Saccharomyces cerevisiae S288C: one gene and its partners. The protein of the gene in region 2 binds, or shares a complex with, the protein of the main gene of each other region. Each region holds a gene or a part of one and is shown on either strand. Other genes may lie near its edges. The genes, in order: RPA135, RPC40, RPC19 and RPC10. A codon is read from its position in the direction of its gene.

Region 1 (6,335 bases), 170 kb from region 2:
TCAATGTGCAGACCACAGTTATAGTAATTGGCAAAAAGAATCCGAAAAGACTAAGCTTCCCAAGCTTGGTTGCCCAACAGAGTACACTGAATACTATAAAACTGTTTCTTCCGGCGAAACAACCGATTCAGCGGTTGTTTCATCTATAGCAACGAACAGACTCAAAAGAAAACGTCAGAGGGACGGCCCAAGTTGTGACTCTTGTAGGATAAAGAAAATAAAATGCAATGCAACAATCATTATCTTTTTACAGGATAGGAACCTAATTTCATCAATTTCTTCAAATTTGCATTATACACTTTCCCAAGACGACATAAACCAGTTTCGAATGAAGTTTTTCAGGAAACTGCCTGACGTGATGGGCACATATGAAGTCATAAAACACCTTGATAAAATAGTCCTTTTCAAAGCCTGCACCTCTTGCAGTAGAAGAAACCAAAAAAATGGAAAGTGTCTTTTTTCGAGAGGATTTACAAAATCTGATATGAACGTATTTCCCAAGATAAATAGTAAACTTAAAGACAAAAGTATCTTCGAGATGACTGTCGATGATTATGTTGCCGCTGGCTTCCAAACCCTTTAGGTTTCATGCATGTAATTTCCTCCTATGTAAAATATAGGAATATTAATAAAACGCACCAATAATAAGTTAGATATTTTTCTGCAAGATATAAATTTGTTTACTCATACATATATATTCTATTGCGGGGCGCTCTTGTATAAGTAATTCAATAAAAAACCTCTATATGATACAATTGACCAAGCCTTCATTTACCATTCTATATCAATTTGGAAAGAAGGGTATTTCTCTATTTGGGCTCTACATTATAACGCAATCTTATACCCATTGCGGATAGCTCAGAGTCCAAGTACTTCAACACAAATGGTATGGCCACCGTAGTTGTTTCATTACCACCAACAAATTTGTTACCTTGTCCATCTTCCCAAATTTGAGAGTCGTCAATAAAAATTTTCTCTCCATCTTCTGATTTAGTCAATAGCTTCTTTGCATCTTCGAATCTCATGGAACAACGACGGCAACAAACGGTGGAAATCGAACCAATTCTTGGCACACTCTGTTGCGTGGTCAAAATAGAACCACACTCGCGACATACGGATGCCTGTGTGTAGTCTGATGAATTTAGCAGACGATCTTGTAATAGAAAAGATGTACCATGCCCAATCAAAGCATCTCTTTCCATTTCACCGACACGAATACCACCATGTCTCTTTCTACCTTTGACAGGCTGCATAGTCAAACTATTCACAGGACCAGTGGAACGAACTTGGAACTTGTCATTGACCATATGACGTAATCTTTGGTAGTAGACAACACCAACATAAATATCTGCCCTTAATTCTTCACCAGTAGCACCTGAGTACATTGGCTCATTACCATGGTAGTTGTAACCCGCCTTCGCTAGTTGCTCACCAAAGTAATCGGCTGGGGTATCGTCCTCGTTAAAGATCCAAGGTGTAGAGTCCTGTGCAATACCATGCAATGCCCCCGCTTTACCTGCTAAAGATTCGACGAACATACCAATGGTCATACGCGAAGGGAAAGCATGAGGGTTAATGATGATGTCTGGTTGGATACCTGTTTCGCTAAAAGGCATATCAATGGTTGGCCATTTTCTTGAACAAACACCTTTTTGACCGTGTCTAGAAGAAAATTTATCACCAATTTGAGGCGTTCTTCTAATACGATATTTTATGCTAACAGTTTGTAGTTCTTGGAACTTATTGGATTCATCACCGATTAAATTTACCTCTTCGATATATGCTGGTTCAGAGGAGTGATATGTCTTGATTTTGGTCTTATTTAAAGTATCGTCAAAGTATGCGCAGATTGGATCACCCTCTTCAACATAAGTGCCAATGTATGGCAAACCATCCTCGTCTAATTTCTCAAGCCACTCCTTTGGCCATTCGTCATTCCCGAAACCAAAATGCTGTGTAATTGGGTCACCACGGTTTCTGTTAAGTGCTAAATCCACTTTCTCAGTCTTATACATAGTACCATAACCGAAACCTCTTTCATCTGCTGATTTGTTTATAATCATTGCATCATCCATATCATAACCAGTATACGAGATGACCGCAACAACAGCATTAAACCCGTTTGGAAAGTTATCCATGCCATAATCATCATATAAATTAGCTTTTACGATAGGCGTTTGACCTGTTTGCAACCTATACAGCTTATTGTCGGAACGATGGCACAAAGCTACACCCGGAGTACCCATTGTTTGTTTACCCATCTGACATTGATACATGTTTCTTGGAGACTGGTTGAAATCAGAAAATGGAGTCAAATTAGCCAAAATAGAAAGAATATTTGTGGGCGTAAATTCTACGTGTGTATGAACGTTATTTTGAATTTCTTGAGGAGTGACAGCAATGTTCATGTACACTTGCTCAAAAGGTCCAACAATGTCTTCTTTATCCAAAGGCAGGTAACGAACAGGACGCAGCATCCTAGAATGACCACCAAATAGGTAGAGACCTGGATATTGACCACGAGTTGAGGGAGGAACATATCCAATTTCTAGATCAATCGGTAACCCAGGCGTCTTGCCTTCAACTTTCCAATATCTCAATGTATCCGCAATGATCTTACCTTGTTCATGAGAGACCCAGCCAATAATTTTACCATCAATTTGAACACAACACAGAGAAGGACCAGCAGCAAAGGTGTGAGATGCCGGAGCAACACCAAGTGAGTATAATATAGAAGGAATTCTTGAGACGTCAGATTGCTGAGTTGATATACGACACTTGTGCGCAAAATGGTTTAATAAACCACAAGGAGAACCATCTGGTGTATGAACAGGGCACAGGAATCCCCACGACTCAGGTAGCAACTTTCTGACTGTGGTAGTTTTCAATTGCGCAAAAAAGGAGCCTCTATGAACCATTCTAAAATGAGAGATAAAACGGTAGAAGTTAATTTTTTCTGCAACCACAGTATAACCAGAAACTTGTTGTAAATCTAACCCAGACTGGGACACCAGGTTACCAGTTGATAAAAAGTATTGCATTTTGGAACCAATGTTTTCATTAACCCTCATTAAAACTCTTGACATGTACCTTTTGTCTTTGAAATTAATGGCCATACCACGGTTAATATCCATCCTGACTTGAGCAATAATATTCTGTAAGTACTCATCAATCTTTTCTTTTAGGATCATACCATATAAGAAACCACCCAAAAGAACTTCTTGATGTTGCGTAGCATCTGGGTTATCTGGAGAACATTCGCCTGCAACCAAGGAATACAACTTTCTGATCATGAACAATAACATTCTGAATTTATCCTGGCTGCCATCCTTACCCAAATGCACGAGAACGATGCGATCAAGGACTTCTTGTCCGACTTCTAAATCAGATTGATCAGGGGAAGCTTGAAAGACAACACGAAATTTGTCTCCTAAATATTGCAAGACTTGTGTGCGATTTTGTAAATGAGGATATCTTTTCTTAAAACCACGTAACAGTAATTCTAAACGATCGGTCAAAAAGGAATCCTTAACGTCATTACCAATAATACCATCAAAAATTTCCCTATCGCTGGTATGACACAAGGCTTTTAAAATCATAACAACAGGAACTAAATATTCATTTTTTCTCCAAGAAAATCTAAATGTAACTTGACCGTCATTTAAGTAATGCAAAACATTAGTTTGGGAAGTTTGATCCGGCCTGACAGATCTAATTTGAATACCGTAATGAGAATAGGATGCACCCCTGTTAGCGAAGGAAGGTCTGATGATAGCCATAGGATGATTTCTACGTTGCACAATCAGCATTCTAATAAGCTTTTCTATACCGTTAACAATGAAATAACCACCTATTTCATCGGATTCTTCCTTGTGTTGTACCAGTTCATATGGTGACATCTTGTTCAAGTGACATCTGTTACTCTGTAGCATAACTGGTAGACCACCACAATCTCTTACTTCAAATAAGTTCTCCTCGCCATTGTTCACGGACCACTTCAACTTTAAAAGTAATTTACCTCTGTAAGAAGTAAGCCTTTGTCTTGACTCACTTGGGTAAACTTTTCTCTCTACTGCAGAAGAAACACCATCGTTAGACATTGGCTTCGCAATAGACACTTGTTCCACACTAACAGAAAGCTTATTCCCGAGGTATCCGCTGTTGGATATTTCGTCTTCAGAATTGAGTGGTTTTCCATCAAATATAACTTTTTCACCGATGTCTTTAACACCAAGATTTAACAAACCTCCATCCGGACCTTCTGTTAATGCGTTAAAAGACCCAATATGAGGTTGAACAGCTTCCTGTAATAGTGGAAATGCTGATTTATCCTTAGGTGGATTGATGAACCTAGATTCACGTTCTAAGGTACGGAAATCAGCAGTTCTGGCTTGGCCAGGCGGCTTAATCACTTTGCTCATCTCACCAAATGCGTAATTCTACGTTTATTTGTCAATATTCTTGAGGAAGACTTGCTTGAATATTACGAGACAGCTGAAGTAAGTTTGAATAATTAAGAGATGAGATGAGTCTCTAAGATGCGCTTGAAAAATTTTTCATACGAAAAAAAAAAAAAAAAAAAAAAAAAAACACTCGCAAGAGTAATCTCAATAATAATTTCCGTCATTAGCGATTATAGCATGAAGGGAGGCCGAGAGGCCGCTTCTGCGGTATGATAATTAAGTGGTAGTGCAGAGACTCAAAAGGGCGCTGAGAATCTATTAGAAATGCCATTAAGTGCTTTGAACTCTTGTAGCATGTCTGCTTCTGTAGATATAACACTCTGATGCAGATTTATGAATAATTTCATCACTCGATGTCATCAGCGTCTTCCTTCATTTGATGCTTTTTTGAAGTTTTCATGGCATGATTTAGCATTTGAAATATAATGAGAAAAGAGCCCTTTAACTTACAGAAGTAAATGTACAAAACTTAATCGGAGGAAGAAGCTTAAACATACAAAAACAACAGCAGGATGACTACAAAGAAGCCGTTAAACAAATCTTTTTGTCTCCGTTACTAATTCACTAATATAGTAATTTTGCTAACCTCTATCGTCATTGAAACTGATTTGTCCTCGAGAAGGCAACAATCAAACTGCAAAAGAAACGTAAAGCAACGACTTGAACAAGTAATCGCTAACCACATATTGAGATAAGCAGATAATCGCTGTTAAACGTCGTTGATACAGTCAGTCAATATGAATAGTGTAGTATTTTATCGTTAGGTTCACCTTCCAAATATTCGTTAGATAAAGATGTTTCGGTTTTTTATTTCAACAAAAGAGCCTTGTTGGCGCAATCGGTAGCGCGTATGACTCTTAATCATAAGGTTAGGGGTTCGAGCCCCCTACAGGGCTTTCTTTTTTATTGCATGGTCTATCATCAGGTTCCCTTAACCGCTGCCAAGAAAGAGCACGTGTAAAAATGGAATGATTATACATCAATTAAACATATAGTCATGGTGGTGTTGACATGTATATAATATACATTAGTTTTGTCATATTTGAAGAATAAATAATATTTCGATTTGTTCCCGACAATTATTGAAAATGTTTTAAGTGTAGATATTAATATAACAAATCATCAACATGGTTTTTAATCCTTATCTTTGGCAAGGACTTCATCTAAACTAGATAATTCTGGGTTACCTGTCAATCTCAAAGTCTCGTCAGTTCTTAATTTCTTATATGTGAAGTATGTCCCAGAGCATAAAGCTACACCAACAGCGAGAAATAACGGTGTTAATTCGACGGGTATTTTGTAGCCACCAGATGTTTTTTTCTAGTTTTTTGTTAGTATAATACTCTATAATCTTGTAGTTAGCATTCATAATCAACATAATTGTTTTCTTAGAAAGCATCAAGTCAGAATGAACGCATGATTATCCGTTTGTCACAATAAAAAGAAAATATCCCTTAACATACAGCTGTATTCAACAGTAACTGTGCTGGTCTCATTTTTCTATATTTTTCTTTTTTTAAAGTATTGTCAGAAGTCGTTCAGGAAACTACCAAAATTAAATAAGTCTCAAAACAAAGTTAGCTTATACTGGTATGGGAAGAGTTATAGTTGCTTTTGAGGAGATGGCGATGCCTTTAAAGTCTGTTCTCATGCTCATCATAAAGTACGGGAAATCCCCCGCTTTGTACGATATGATTGGCCCATACTGCAAGACCGATATAAAGAAAAATAGACAAGTTAATGCTATATACAGGATGTCGTTCTTCAGCGGAGGGATCGCGTCATTACTTGGTTTTCGCTGACCCAAGCCTGTCACCTCAAGCTCACCAATTTCTTACAGAATCACATACAACTTCGTAAACTAGCCAACTC
Region 2 (3,766 bases):
TCATGGTTGCTTATCGTTGAATATGCTTTTCATTATCTTAACAATCCTATTCCCAATTGATTTTTTTGAACCCCTGAGTGGTAGCGAGCCAGTAGACGATGGCCCTAAGAATACTCCCTCACCCTTTTCCAATTCAGATGGTCTACTTTTGGGTGAGAGAAGAGGTGGGCTTTTTCTACAGATGATCGGAGAACGGCTACCAAAGAGCAACTTTTCCGGCAATCTTGGATTAGTAATGTTCGAATTTAGCATACTTATTGTACAGTTTACTTTATTTTCACTAACATGTGTTGTATTGGCAGATTTAGATTTTGAAGAGCCAGAAAGACTAGAACCTGTAAATAGTGATGGCTACGATGGCTCTGTAATAGTTGCACGAATACCATTAAATAAAACCATGAATGCCATTTTAAATGACGGCAATATTAATGACAACAATGAGAATGCTAGCAATTCTGTCTAATAGTATATATATGTAGTCCATAAGGGGTAATGCATATTACTGTTATCGGCACTATTTTATAGAGAGTTACATTTACATATATCATTCTATTACATTTCCTTATCTATGACGATTCATGGGTTTGTATTTTTTTGGTAGGATTTGCCAATTCTACTAATACTAGAAGAAAAGATTATACAAAGATAAAGACCCTGAGGTTAAGTATTTAATATTTTTCTCAAACTGTGTTTTTTTTATTAGTATGCAAAGTAGGATCATTGGGTAATTGGACAGTTTTTCAAATACTCAGCCTTATTCTTTAAAATCCTGACGGATTTGAAAAAAATTTCTTCTGGTGTCATGGCACCAGCGCTTTCTACGTTGAAAATAAAGTGGTTCCTCACTCTTCCTAATTTAACTTTATCAGCAAACTCTTCGTATCTTAAAACCTCCCTGGAAACCGTATCCTTCCTAGCATCTTTGACATACGCTTCATCTGAACCTTCATCAATACCAATAACACCTGGGGGAAAACATTTTTGAAATCTTCTGGCACTTTCACCTTTGATTGGCTGTAAGATATTGATTTGAGGTAATAATCTATAAGAAGCGGTGGAAACTGGTGAAAATTTAGCATGATCACCACCGATACCTAAAATGCAATGTGCCTTCAACGAAATTTCTTGACCAGGCCTTAGCTTAGCTAATAAAATATCAGGATCAGCTGGAACAACCGGACAATCAGCAAAAGTGGTAGATTGTCTGCCCTGTGGTTCAAACTTCAAATCACGGGCGTAGACATGGGCATTGTTATATAGTTCCTTTGGATCAGTAGATCCCTTTGGAGCATCTGGATTTCTTGTGCACTTCACGTTCAAACTCAAAACGATAGTATTTTCATCCGTAAACTTTTCATCGTCCGGCAAATTACTATCAACCCATGTGAGCATATCAGGGTCAACTTTTAATGGAACCAAGCCTATTCTATGAGCCAAAACCTCATCTTGGATAACGGATGTATTGTTAAAAAAATAGACGTATTCAGCAGCCACGGATGGAACCTCGGAAATCATTATACGACGAAAGGCATTCGCAATCGATGTGTCAATGTTTATCAAGTCGAAATTTGCCTCTCTTGCGTCTAATGACGAAATATTGACTTCGAAGTCCTTTTTGAATTTTTCCACATTCCACTCGTTTTCTGCATCCTTCGAGAAACCAGGAAAATCCGTGGAGGTTGTATTCGTTACACGGTTATATTCAATACCCACAATATTTGACATATCTTCTTTCACCTACTTACTTTCATGCACTTGATACCTGCTCTTCTACATAATATGAGTGAAATTTTTTCTTTCAACTCATCGCAATAATTTTTTCACAAAATTTTTGTGAATCCAAGTCACTATAAACGGAATTAATAAATATTTGCAACATAAAGCACAATGTATTGTAGCAGAAGACAAACGACAAGTATGGGATAATGCAACATCTCTTTCTAATTAATATAAAATCAAGAATAAGCATGTCTTCTGACTAATTTTTATATACAAACACCAAGATCATAAATTTTTGTCTTTGAATGGATAATTAACCCATACACCTCATACAAGATTTTGAGAGTAAACACAAATCAATGGACCTGTAGTCGGCTAGATCACAGATCATGATGAACTGTATTGTCGCAACAAACTTGTAACTCCAATAGTGATTAGCAACCCAGAATATCGTATTCAACAATAATTCGGTAGTCATGTTTTCACGAAGTGATCGAGAGGTAGATGATTTGGCTGGTAATATGAGTCATTTAGGGTTCTATGATTTGAATATTCCTAAACCTACTTCTCCACAGGCGCAATATAGGCCTGCTAGAAAGAGCGAAAATGGAAGATTAACTCCCGGACTTCCAAGATCATATAAGCCGTGTGATTCAGATGATCAAGATACCTTCAAAAATCGCATTTCATTGAATCACTCACCGAAGAAGCTACCCAAGGATTTTCACGAGCGTGCTTCCCAAAGTAAAACCCAGAGAGTTGTTAATGTATGCCAACTTTACTTTCTCGACTATTACTGTGACATGTTTGATTATGTTATTAGCAGAAGACAACGTACGAAGCAGGTGCTAAGATATCTTGAACAGCAAAGAAGTGTCAAAAACGTTTCTAATAAGGTTTTAAATGAAGAATGGGCTTTGTATTTGCAAAGAGAACACGAAGTACTGAGAAAAAGGAGGTTGAAACCTAAGCACAAGGATTTTCAGATACTGACACAAGTTGGACAGGGTGGTTATGGGCAAGTTTATCTTGCAAAAAAAAAAGACAGTGATGAAATTTGTGCTTTGAAAATATTAAACAAGAAACTTTTATTCAAACTAAACGAGACGAATCACGTCCTTACTGAGAGGGACATACTAACCACAACTAGATCTGACTGGCTTGTGAAGTTGCTTTATGCATTTCAGGATCCAGAGAGCCTATATTTAGCAATGGAATTTGTACCTGGTGGTGATTTTCGCACATTGTTAATAAATACAAGGATATTGAAGAGCGGTCACGCAAGGTTCTATATCAGCGAAATGTTTTGTGCCGTGAACGCGTTGCATGAACTTGGTTACACTCACCGGGATTTAAAGCCGGAGAATTTCTTGATTGATGCTACAGGGCATATCAAGCTGACCGATTTTGGTCTAGCAGCAGGGACCGTATCAAATGAAAGAATCGAAAGCATGAAAATACGCTTAGAAGAAGTAAAGAATTTGGAATTTCCTGCTTTCACAGAAAGGTCTATCGAGGATAGAAGGAAAATATATCATAACATGAGGAAGACAGAAATTAATTACGCTAACTCTATGGTCGGTTCGCCTGATTATATGGCCCTAGAAGTTCTGGAAGGTAAAAAATACGATTTTACAGTGGATTATTGGTCATTAGGCTGTATGCTTTTTGAAAGTTTGGTTGGATATACACCTTTTAGTGGTTCTTCTACTAATGAAACTTACGAGAATTTAAGATATTGGAAAAAAACTTTAAGAAGGCCCCGTACTGAGGATAGAAGAGCAGCATTCTCAGATAGAACCTGGGATTTAATTACAAGACTAATAGCTGACCCCATCAACAGAGTACGATCTTTTGAGCAAGTTCGCAAAATGTCTTATTTCGCAGAGATCAATTTTGAAACCCTAAGAACAAGTTCTCCACCATTTATTCCTCAATTAGATGATGAAACGGATGCAGGTTATTTCGATGACTTCACAAATGAAGAAGATATGGCTAAATATGCAGATGTCTTCAAAAGACAGAACAAATTATCTGCAATGGTCGA
Region 3 (2,827 bases), on a different chromosome or scaffold from region 2:
ATAGTCATTTCATTTTCCTTTCTGAACTGAGCAATCTCACTGTCCGATCTGTCGCGAACACTTTCGTGTTCAACATAGAAATTCTTTTCGAAAGTTGGCAATTTGGGTAATTCTTCATCCCAGTTTGGTTTGATCAATTCCTGGGGTTGGTTGTAATTGGAACGACCACCGAAACCACCACGGTAGTTACCGCCTTGTGGTCTGTCATTGTAAGAGTTTCTATCAGAGTTTCTTCCACCGCGGAAGTCGCCACCTCTAGACTTGTAGTTAGTCTTGTTATATTGCTGATCTCTACCACCGTAAGTCATATTTGCTCTAAATTTGCCTTAATAGTGCTTAATTCTGTTACAGGTTGTTGACAAGAAAATAATTTGAATGAGATACAGAAAAGTATAAGTTATTTGAGCGTAGGACAGTCTTTTTATAAGACAAATAAACTGAAGGAAAAATTTTCTGCGATGAGCATCGGCGTAAAAAAAAAAAAAAAAAAAAAAAAAAGAAATAAAAAAAGAAATAAATTTTTCAATCATTCAATACGGAATACGCCTTTAAAAAGGAATTTCGAATTCTCAACATTATTAGCACCTTGTACGAAGGTGTATTTTTATCTGGTTATATTATACATAGATTTTAAATAGCACGACTATAAACGGGATACACAAATCAAGCTGTATCTATACTAGCGTGGTGTGCATAATTATTAGAAATTTCAGAGTGACAGAGGGTCTTTGAGTCGATCCGTAACATCTACATGCTCTTGATTTTTTCAGTAAACTTAGATTCTACAACGTCACATAAATCCATCAAGTCCTTTAGCCCTTTTTGAAGAGCATCCACCGCGGTCGTTTCACCGTAGGTTTGAATTCTGATATTTAATAGGTTTTCAGAAGGATGAGGTATCGAGTAACCACAAAATTCTACGTCTGGATTTTTCATTATAACGTAACGAAGGGCATTTCCAAGCGTGTGATCCTCCTCTACAATTTGAAAAGAGGCACTAGTTCCATCTTCAGATGTTGCCTGTGTGAGAAGCTTAATTTTTTCCCTGTCTGGTTCCTCTTCCTGTTCTTCATCGCCAGTCATATCAACATCCTGTTCTTCTTCTTCTTGGATGTGCTTTGGTTCTTGTGGTGTTACCTCTGTAGCGGTCTTTTTTTGTTCGATGTCTTCAGTCATTTGCCTGGTACTTTATGTGAAGTTCAATTTTTCCGACTTTGGATTGATGGCCTTTCCCCAATTCGTTACTTTATACCTCAGCATTAGTATGGTTTTCTTTTGAAATTTTTTTTTTTTCCAGCTCATCGCAGGTGAATATTTCTATCACTTGTTACGTTTACCATTACCCGGATTGAAGTAAATATGATTCACCCCAATAAAGCTGTACAGAAGAGATAAGATGTAGCTTTATTAGAACAAAGTTTATCACGTTGTTGGTACTTAGAATAATCTATGATATTGTTGCGTCTTTTTGAATAAGCTTTCTTGCGTGCCGTTTTTTTCGGTTTTTTTTTATATTTCTGCCCAAAAAACGTAGTTCAAAGAAAAGGAACTATCCCAAAATAGAAGCAAGTTATGTTTAAGGAATTAAAAAATGTACCTATAAAGCACGTTTTTCTGATATGTATATGCCTATGTAATGTAGAAGTTGTCGAATCAGCAATCGTATTGGTCAACCTTGATGGCATGTTCTCAGCACGTTTTGAAGTGGCTATGCATATATAGTGTTCTTTAATCTATTCCTTGCAAGGCTATTCGGACCCCTAATTTTAACCATCGTGCAGTTTAAAGGGATGAGAGAAAAACTAAAAGTTAGATGCCTTGCTATATTCTATAAGGAGGAAAGGAAAGGAAAGCCATTGAAGAAAGAACTGTAGGCATCAGAGCGAACAGATCATGAAGGCTAATGGTTTAGATAATGATCCGGCAAGGACGGGAATGGAAAGAACAGATATAGATAGTGAACACCCAGAAGCGCAACCGTTGCTGAACAACAACCACCGGACCCTTGGTGCAGGATCCGCGAATGGCCCAGCAGTTAATGAAGGTCGTGACATTGAATCCGATGGGTTCATCAAAGATAGTCTCTTTCAAATTCGCAAAGGTTATAGAATCTTTATTCATAACTCCAAATGGATATTAAATATCCTAATTCTAATTAACACCATCTGGCTAGTCACCACTTTGATTTCAGATTTCTTTTTCAATATCAATATTCTTTTCGGATTCAGTAACAGGTACGCAAGTTTTAACGACTTGACTTTAATATTCATCTCGATCATAGCTAATTCTTTCAATCTCTGGTTTAATAAGCTGGGACTGTACTCAGCTTTAGATTACAGCTTAAATGTAACTCTCTGTGTTTTGACGTTGTTCAATCTAGCATTGACCTATCTAATTAAATACACTAGGCAAAGAATCGGCTTTGTGGGCACGTTTACATATTTGTGGACTTCGTTTTCATTTTTTATTGGGGCAATATTAGATTGGTATCTCTTGTTTTACAACAACTCAATAAATGAGCCATTGGAGGAACGCAGAATTGATGATGCTAATATTAGTACTTTCAACGAAAACCATACAAATAGTACCGAAAACAGGGACAGAAGCCAATATGGCTCTGGGTCGCCAACCCCCACCCACCGCTCGCAGCTGGTCCAAAACAAACATACATTGACAGAATGGGTATCCATTGGGTTCAGGAATACTATTAAGTTTTTAATTTTAATATTCTTCGCTTTATTCACCCTGAATACACTTTTAACGACATTGGATACCTACAGATTGACTCACAAATTACCAATAACCGTTCAGTCGCCCTCGTACGAGG
Region 4 (2,765 bases), on a different chromosome or scaffold from region 2:
ACTACTGGAAGCTGGCAGGGATCGTGTAGGTCAAAATGCGACCTTATACTGTGATACTTGCCCTTGCTTAACATGTTCTGTAAAGATTGTTCAAACAGGCATCAGTGAAGTAGTTTATAGCCAAAGTTATAGAATGGACGAGGAAAGTTTCAAGGTCTTGAAGAATGCGGGAATAACCGTCCGGCAATTCAGCTTTACGGAAGAACCAAGAATTGTGATGATTTAATTCATAAGTTCCTTTTCAGTTCGAACTAATGTAACATATATATAAAATACTACATTTAAAAAAAATACAGTACATTGTACAAACTAAAATCACTATAAATAGCGAATACTTTTCTTATATACTATTATTATTATACATTTGTATACACCTTTTTTCATTAATATAATCTCTAAGTGATATACGTTTTCCCTTAAAAAAACATAAAGAATTTGCTGGAAGAAAAGTGCTGCATAAACTTAAATCAAGCACAAGTTTATATATTGCAAAAACCTTGGAAAACCTAGGTTCTTTATTTCGTATTATTCTGCCCCGGTAACCCATTATGGTTTTCAGTCTCTCCATTCATCTAGCTTCAAATTGAACCAATCTCTTAGTCCTAGCCTTCAACAGGATTCTATGACCACAGTCCTTACAACGGACTGCATCAGTTCTGGATAAAGATAATTTACTAGAACATTCAGCACAAATATACTTCAAAGTTGCCGTTCTAGCTTGAGAAGTACCTGCAGCTGCGGCGTCTAAATTTGTTGGAATCTGGAACCCTTCGCGAGACATTGTTATACTTGTGGACTTTTATTCTTGGGTACGTTCTTATTAAATGTTGGTAGAATAAGTCGATGATGTGGAATACTCTTCACTTTTCTGATTCTAAAATCTATTTTAGATGTTAAAGAAATGAAAAAAAAAAAAAAAAAAATTAAAATTCAGAAAAATCATATTCTACGACCGCAGCGTTATATAACGTTACATCGGTGAGGCTAATTGTAGCCTTACCTGGTAATGTACAATGTCGTGGTCATGAGACAAATGTCAAATAGGAAGATGCAATGGAGAACAAATTTGACACACATGATTGAATCATTAAATCTACGGCAATATTTTGTTCTTATTTAGTGTCTCTTTCTCCATATCACTGCTCATATCAGGAAAAACTGTAGATTCTGACAATGTACTCGCCGGAACATTTTGATATATATAGGTGATGTAATTTCCATATGAAAAATACTAAAGACTTGTGATGAATTCATGAAATGAGTGGGGAAGAATCAGTATCCTTAGTAAGAGGTAACTAATAAAATTAAGTTATAGTATACACATTGTATATAATAGTTGAAACTACAAAATGAAAAGATCATGAGAAAAAAACAAAATAAAGAAATTAGGAAACTTAGTCGTTATAACAACACGAGGAAAAATGAATAAATAATACTGTCTTTTTACTATTTTTAACAAAAAATAATGGAAAAAATACGCCTGAGAAAACAAATAGAAAAGAATGCACCACCATTATGCCTAAGCGCTAAATGGTAACCGTAGCATAAATTGTGTTTGTACTAGTTATAGTGGTGGCGGCATCAACGGATTGAGACGGGTTAGTTAAGTAGACAGTACTATAGTAGTCATCATCATCATAAAAAACGTAACAAGTGCCATCCGAGCTGGAGACGGATATCGATTGCGTAGAAGACGATTCTAATGGCATGGATGTCGTTGCTCTAGACGTTGTATCTACGCTAGAAGAGGGTACCAGTGTAGAGGTAGTTCTTGCTATAGTGGACCCTGTTTGGGATGACTCAACTGCGGAAGTGGAAGACGATGACGCCAAAGTTAGTTGAGAGTTTCCGCTTTTTGAGCTCGATGGTGCCAAGGTAATAATAGTGGCGAAAGAAGAAGAAGAAGAAGAAGAAGAAGTTAAGGAAAGAGGGGCAGATGATGATGATGTTGAAAATGATGAGGATGATGTTTCAGAAGATGAAGATGAAGAAAGTTGGGAAGAGAAAGGTGCAGTAGATGAAACAAAAGCAGAACTAGAAGTCAAACGAAAACCTGAAGACGCAGATGGTTCGGCTGTAGCGGAAGATGTACCTGACGATTCGATACTTTGAGATGATTCGATATCGTATGTAGAGCTAGAGGATGTTGAAGAACCAGATGAAATCGTTGGACTGATAGTGGAAACAGTAGAAGTAGAAACCAATGAGTTTGTTTGAGTAGCACTAACTTGTTCTGAAGCTGACACCGTTGAAACCTCTGTTATCTTTTCAGTAGTGGAAGAAACGACGGAATTAGCTAAAGTAATCGGATATACCCTTGTAGTAGTATATGAAATCGTTTTAACCACAACCCTTGCCGGCGCAAGAGTCTTTGTGTAGACAGCATAACTGTAAACAATACCATCAGAAGTAATAAGTTTGACTGTTTCCCCATTGCTGTTGGCTTCAATTAAGGTGAATAAAAAGAATAAGATATTGAAAATTGTAGAAAAATTAAATTTCATTTCTTTGTAATTTGTTAAAGGAGTGGCTTTATTTCTACTCTGTGAAAGAGATCTGTGTTAAAAAATATTAAGGAATGACTGTGGTTAGCTCTACTGAAGAGTTACAATAAAATGTAGTAAGGAATGACTAGAGTTAGCTTAAAACCCGAAAATATAATTCAAAAAATAATAACGCTTGAGGGAGTGGCTTTAGTTGGAATTGAAACAGTATATTCTTTGTTTCAGGCTCGCTGTCTACTTAATGGAAGTCGATATTGCTGG

The links.
Region 1: the proteins of RPC40 (region 2) and RPA135 are in contact, whole or in part, in a crystal structure (PDB 4C3I), measured with the Saccharomyces cerevisiae proteins. Residues at the interface, in NP_015435.1 of Saccharomyces cerevisiae: Thr61 (codon at 1,545), Ser62 (codon at 1,542), Asn65 (codon at 1,533), Arg68 (codon at 1,524), Arg69 (codon at 1,521), Ile72 (codon at 1,512), Ser73 (codon at 1,509), Gln93 (codon at 1,449), Glu95 (codon at 1,443), Val96 (codon at 1,440), His99 (codon at 1,431), Leu103 (codon at 1,419), Ser150 (codon at 1,278), Gly214 (codon at 1,086), Asp215 (codon at 1,083), His216 (codon at 1,080), Ala217 (codon at 1,077), Thr224 (codon at 1,056), Ser226 (codon at 1,050), Tyr227 (codon at 1,047), Arg228 (codon at 1,044), Leu229 (codon at 1,041), Thr274 (codon at 906), Val275 (codon at 903), Ser276 (codon at 900), Arg277 (codon at 897), Glu278 (codon at 894), Arg281 (codon at 885), Arg293 (codon at 849), Arg295 (codon at 843); in NP_015335.1 of Saccharomyces cerevisiae: Asn27 (codon at 4,343), Arg743 (codon at 2,195), Gln745 (codon at 2,189), Lys791 (codon at 2,051), Ser792 (codon at 2,048), Glu795 (codon at 2,039), Arg796 (codon at 2,036), Gly797 (codon at 2,033), Tyr800 (codon at 2,024), Thr802 (codon at 2,018), Tyr804 (codon at 2,012), Tyr881 (codon at 1,781), Glu883 (codon at 1,775), Arg906 (codon at 1,706), Arg908 (codon at 1,700), Thr933 (codon at 1,625), Ile934 (codon at 1,622), Asp935 (codon at 1,619), Phe938 (codon at 1,610), Ser939 (codon at 1,607), Glu940 (codon at 1,604), Gly942 (codon at 1,598), Gln944 (codon at 1,592), Ala1001 (codon at 1,421), Gly1004 (codon at 1,412), Tyr1005 (codon at 1,409), Asn1006 (codon at 1,406), Tyr1007 (codon at 1,403), His1008 (codon at 1,400), Pro1012 (codon at 1,388).
Region 3: the proteins of RPC40 (region 2) and RPC19 are in contact, whole or in part, in a cryo-EM structure (PDB 7Z30), measured with the Saccharomyces cerevisiae proteins. Residues at the interface, in NP_015435.1 of Saccharomyces cerevisiae: Asp19 (codon at 1,671), Phe20 (codon at 1,668), Pro21 (codon at 1,665), Asn29 (codon at 1,641), Glu30 (codon at 1,638), Trp31 (codon at 1,635), Val33 (codon at 1,629), Phe36 (codon at 1,620), Lys37 (codon at 1,617), Phe40 (codon at 1,608), Val42 (codon at 1,602), Asn43 (codon at 1,599), Ile44 (codon at 1,596), Leu47 (codon at 1,587), Phe54 (codon at 1,566), Ile59 (codon at 1,551), Asp60 (codon at 1,548), Ser62 (codon at 1,542), Ile63 (codon at 1,539), Ala66 (codon at 1,530), Phe67 (codon at 1,527), Arg69 (codon at 1,521), Ile70 (codon at 1,518), Glu74 (codon at 1,506), Glu311 (codon at 795), Phe314 (codon at 786), Phe315 (codon at 783), Val318 (codon at 774), Arg319 (codon at 771), Leu321 (codon at 765); in NP_014286.1 of Saccharomyces cerevisiae: Asp43 (codon at 1,050), Arg44 (codon at 1,047), Lys46 (codon at 1,041), Ile47 (codon at 1,038), Lys48 (codon at 1,035), Leu49 (codon at 1,032), Thr51 (codon at 1,026), Phe63 (codon at 990), Ile65 (codon at 984), Glu68 (codon at 975), Asp69 (codon at 972), His70 (codon at 969), Thr71 (codon at 966), Leu72 (codon at 963), Asn74 (codon at 957), Ala75 (codon at 954), Leu76 (codon at 951), Arg77 (codon at 948), Tyr78 (codon at 945), Val79 (codon at 942), Met81 (codon at 936), Lys82 (codon at 933), Asn83 (codon at 930), Pro84 (codon at 927), Val114 (codon at 837), Leu117 (codon at 828), Gln118 (codon at 825), Lys119 (codon at 822), Leu121 (codon at 816), Lys122 (codon at 813).
Region 4: the proteins of RPC40 (region 2) and RPC10 are in contact, whole or in part, in a cryo-EM structure (PDB 5M3M), measured with the Saccharomyces cerevisiae proteins. Residues at the interface, in NP_015435.1 of Saccharomyces cerevisiae: Ala80 (codon at 1,488), Glu81 (codon at 1,485), Tyr82 (codon at 1,482), Val83 (codon at 1,479), Tyr84 (codon at 1,476), Phe85 (codon at 1,473), Phe86 (codon at 1,470), Asn87 (codon at 1,467), Asn88 (codon at 1,464), Thr89 (codon at 1,461), Asp94 (codon at 1,446), Glu95 (codon at 1,443), Ala98 (codon at 1,434), His99 (codon at 1,431), Gly102 (codon at 1,422), His216 (codon at 1,080), Lys218 (codon at 1,074); in NP_012013.1 of Saccharomyces cerevisiae: Arg60 (codon at 604), Thr61 (codon at 601), Lys62 (codon at 598), Arg63 (codon at 595), Leu64 (codon at 592), Val65 (codon at 589), Gln66 (codon at 586), Phe67 (codon at 583), Glu68 (codon at 580), Ala69 (codon at 577), Arg70 (codon at 574).

What each region holds. Positions count from the first base shown.
Region 1 is NC_001148.4:576,776-583,110, forward strand, and holds RPA135 (DNA-directed RNA polymerase I core subunit RPA135), read right to left. Parts: upstream 4,422-6,335; coding exon 810-4,421; downstream 1-809. Other genes in the region: SUT2 (Sut2p), read left to right, coding at 1-583; MRA1 (Mra1p), read right to left, coding at 5,598-5,783, 5,927-5,959; MRX21 (Mrx21p), read right to left, coding at 6,287-6,335. UniProt on the Saccharomyces cerevisiae protein: DNA-dependent RNA polymerases catalyze the transcription of DNA into RNA using the four ribonucleoside triphosphates as substrates. Component of RNA polymerase I (Pol I) which synthesizes ribosomal RNA precursors.
Region 2 is NC_001148.4:745,111-748,876, forward strand, and holds RPC40 (DNA-directed RNA polymerase core subunit RPC40), read right to left. Parts: upstream 1,726-3,766; coding exon 718-1,725; downstream 1-717. Other genes in the region: GLD1 (Gld1p), read left to right, coding at 1-463; serine/threonine-protein kinase DBF20, read left to right, coding at 2,196-3,766. UniProt on the Saccharomyces cerevisiae protein: DNA-dependent RNA polymerases catalyze the transcription of DNA into RNA using the four ribonucleoside triphosphates as substrates.
Region 3 is NC_001146.8:411,120-413,946, reverse strand, and holds RPC19 (DNA-directed RNA polymerase core subunit RPC19), read right to left. Parts: upstream 1,177-2,827; coding exon 748-1,176; downstream 1-747. Other genes in the region: DEAD-box ATP-dependent RNA helicase DBP2, read right to left, coding at 1-308; YNL115C (uncharacterized protein), read left to right, coding at 1,894-2,827. UniProt on the Saccharomyces cerevisiae protein: DNA-dependent RNA polymerases catalyze the transcription of DNA into RNA using the four ribonucleoside triphosphates as substrates.
Region 4 is NC_001140.6:385,249-388,013, reverse strand, and holds RPC10 (DNA-directed RNA polymerase core subunit RPC10), read right to left. Parts: upstream 782-2,765; coding exon 569-781; downstream 1-568. Other genes in the region: DCD1 (deoxycytidine monophosphate deaminase), read left to right, coding at 1-226; DSE2 (Dse2p), read right to left, coding at 1,527-2,504. UniProt on the Saccharomyces cerevisiae protein: DNA-dependent RNA polymerases catalyze the transcription of DNA into RNA using the four ribonucleoside triphosphates as substrates.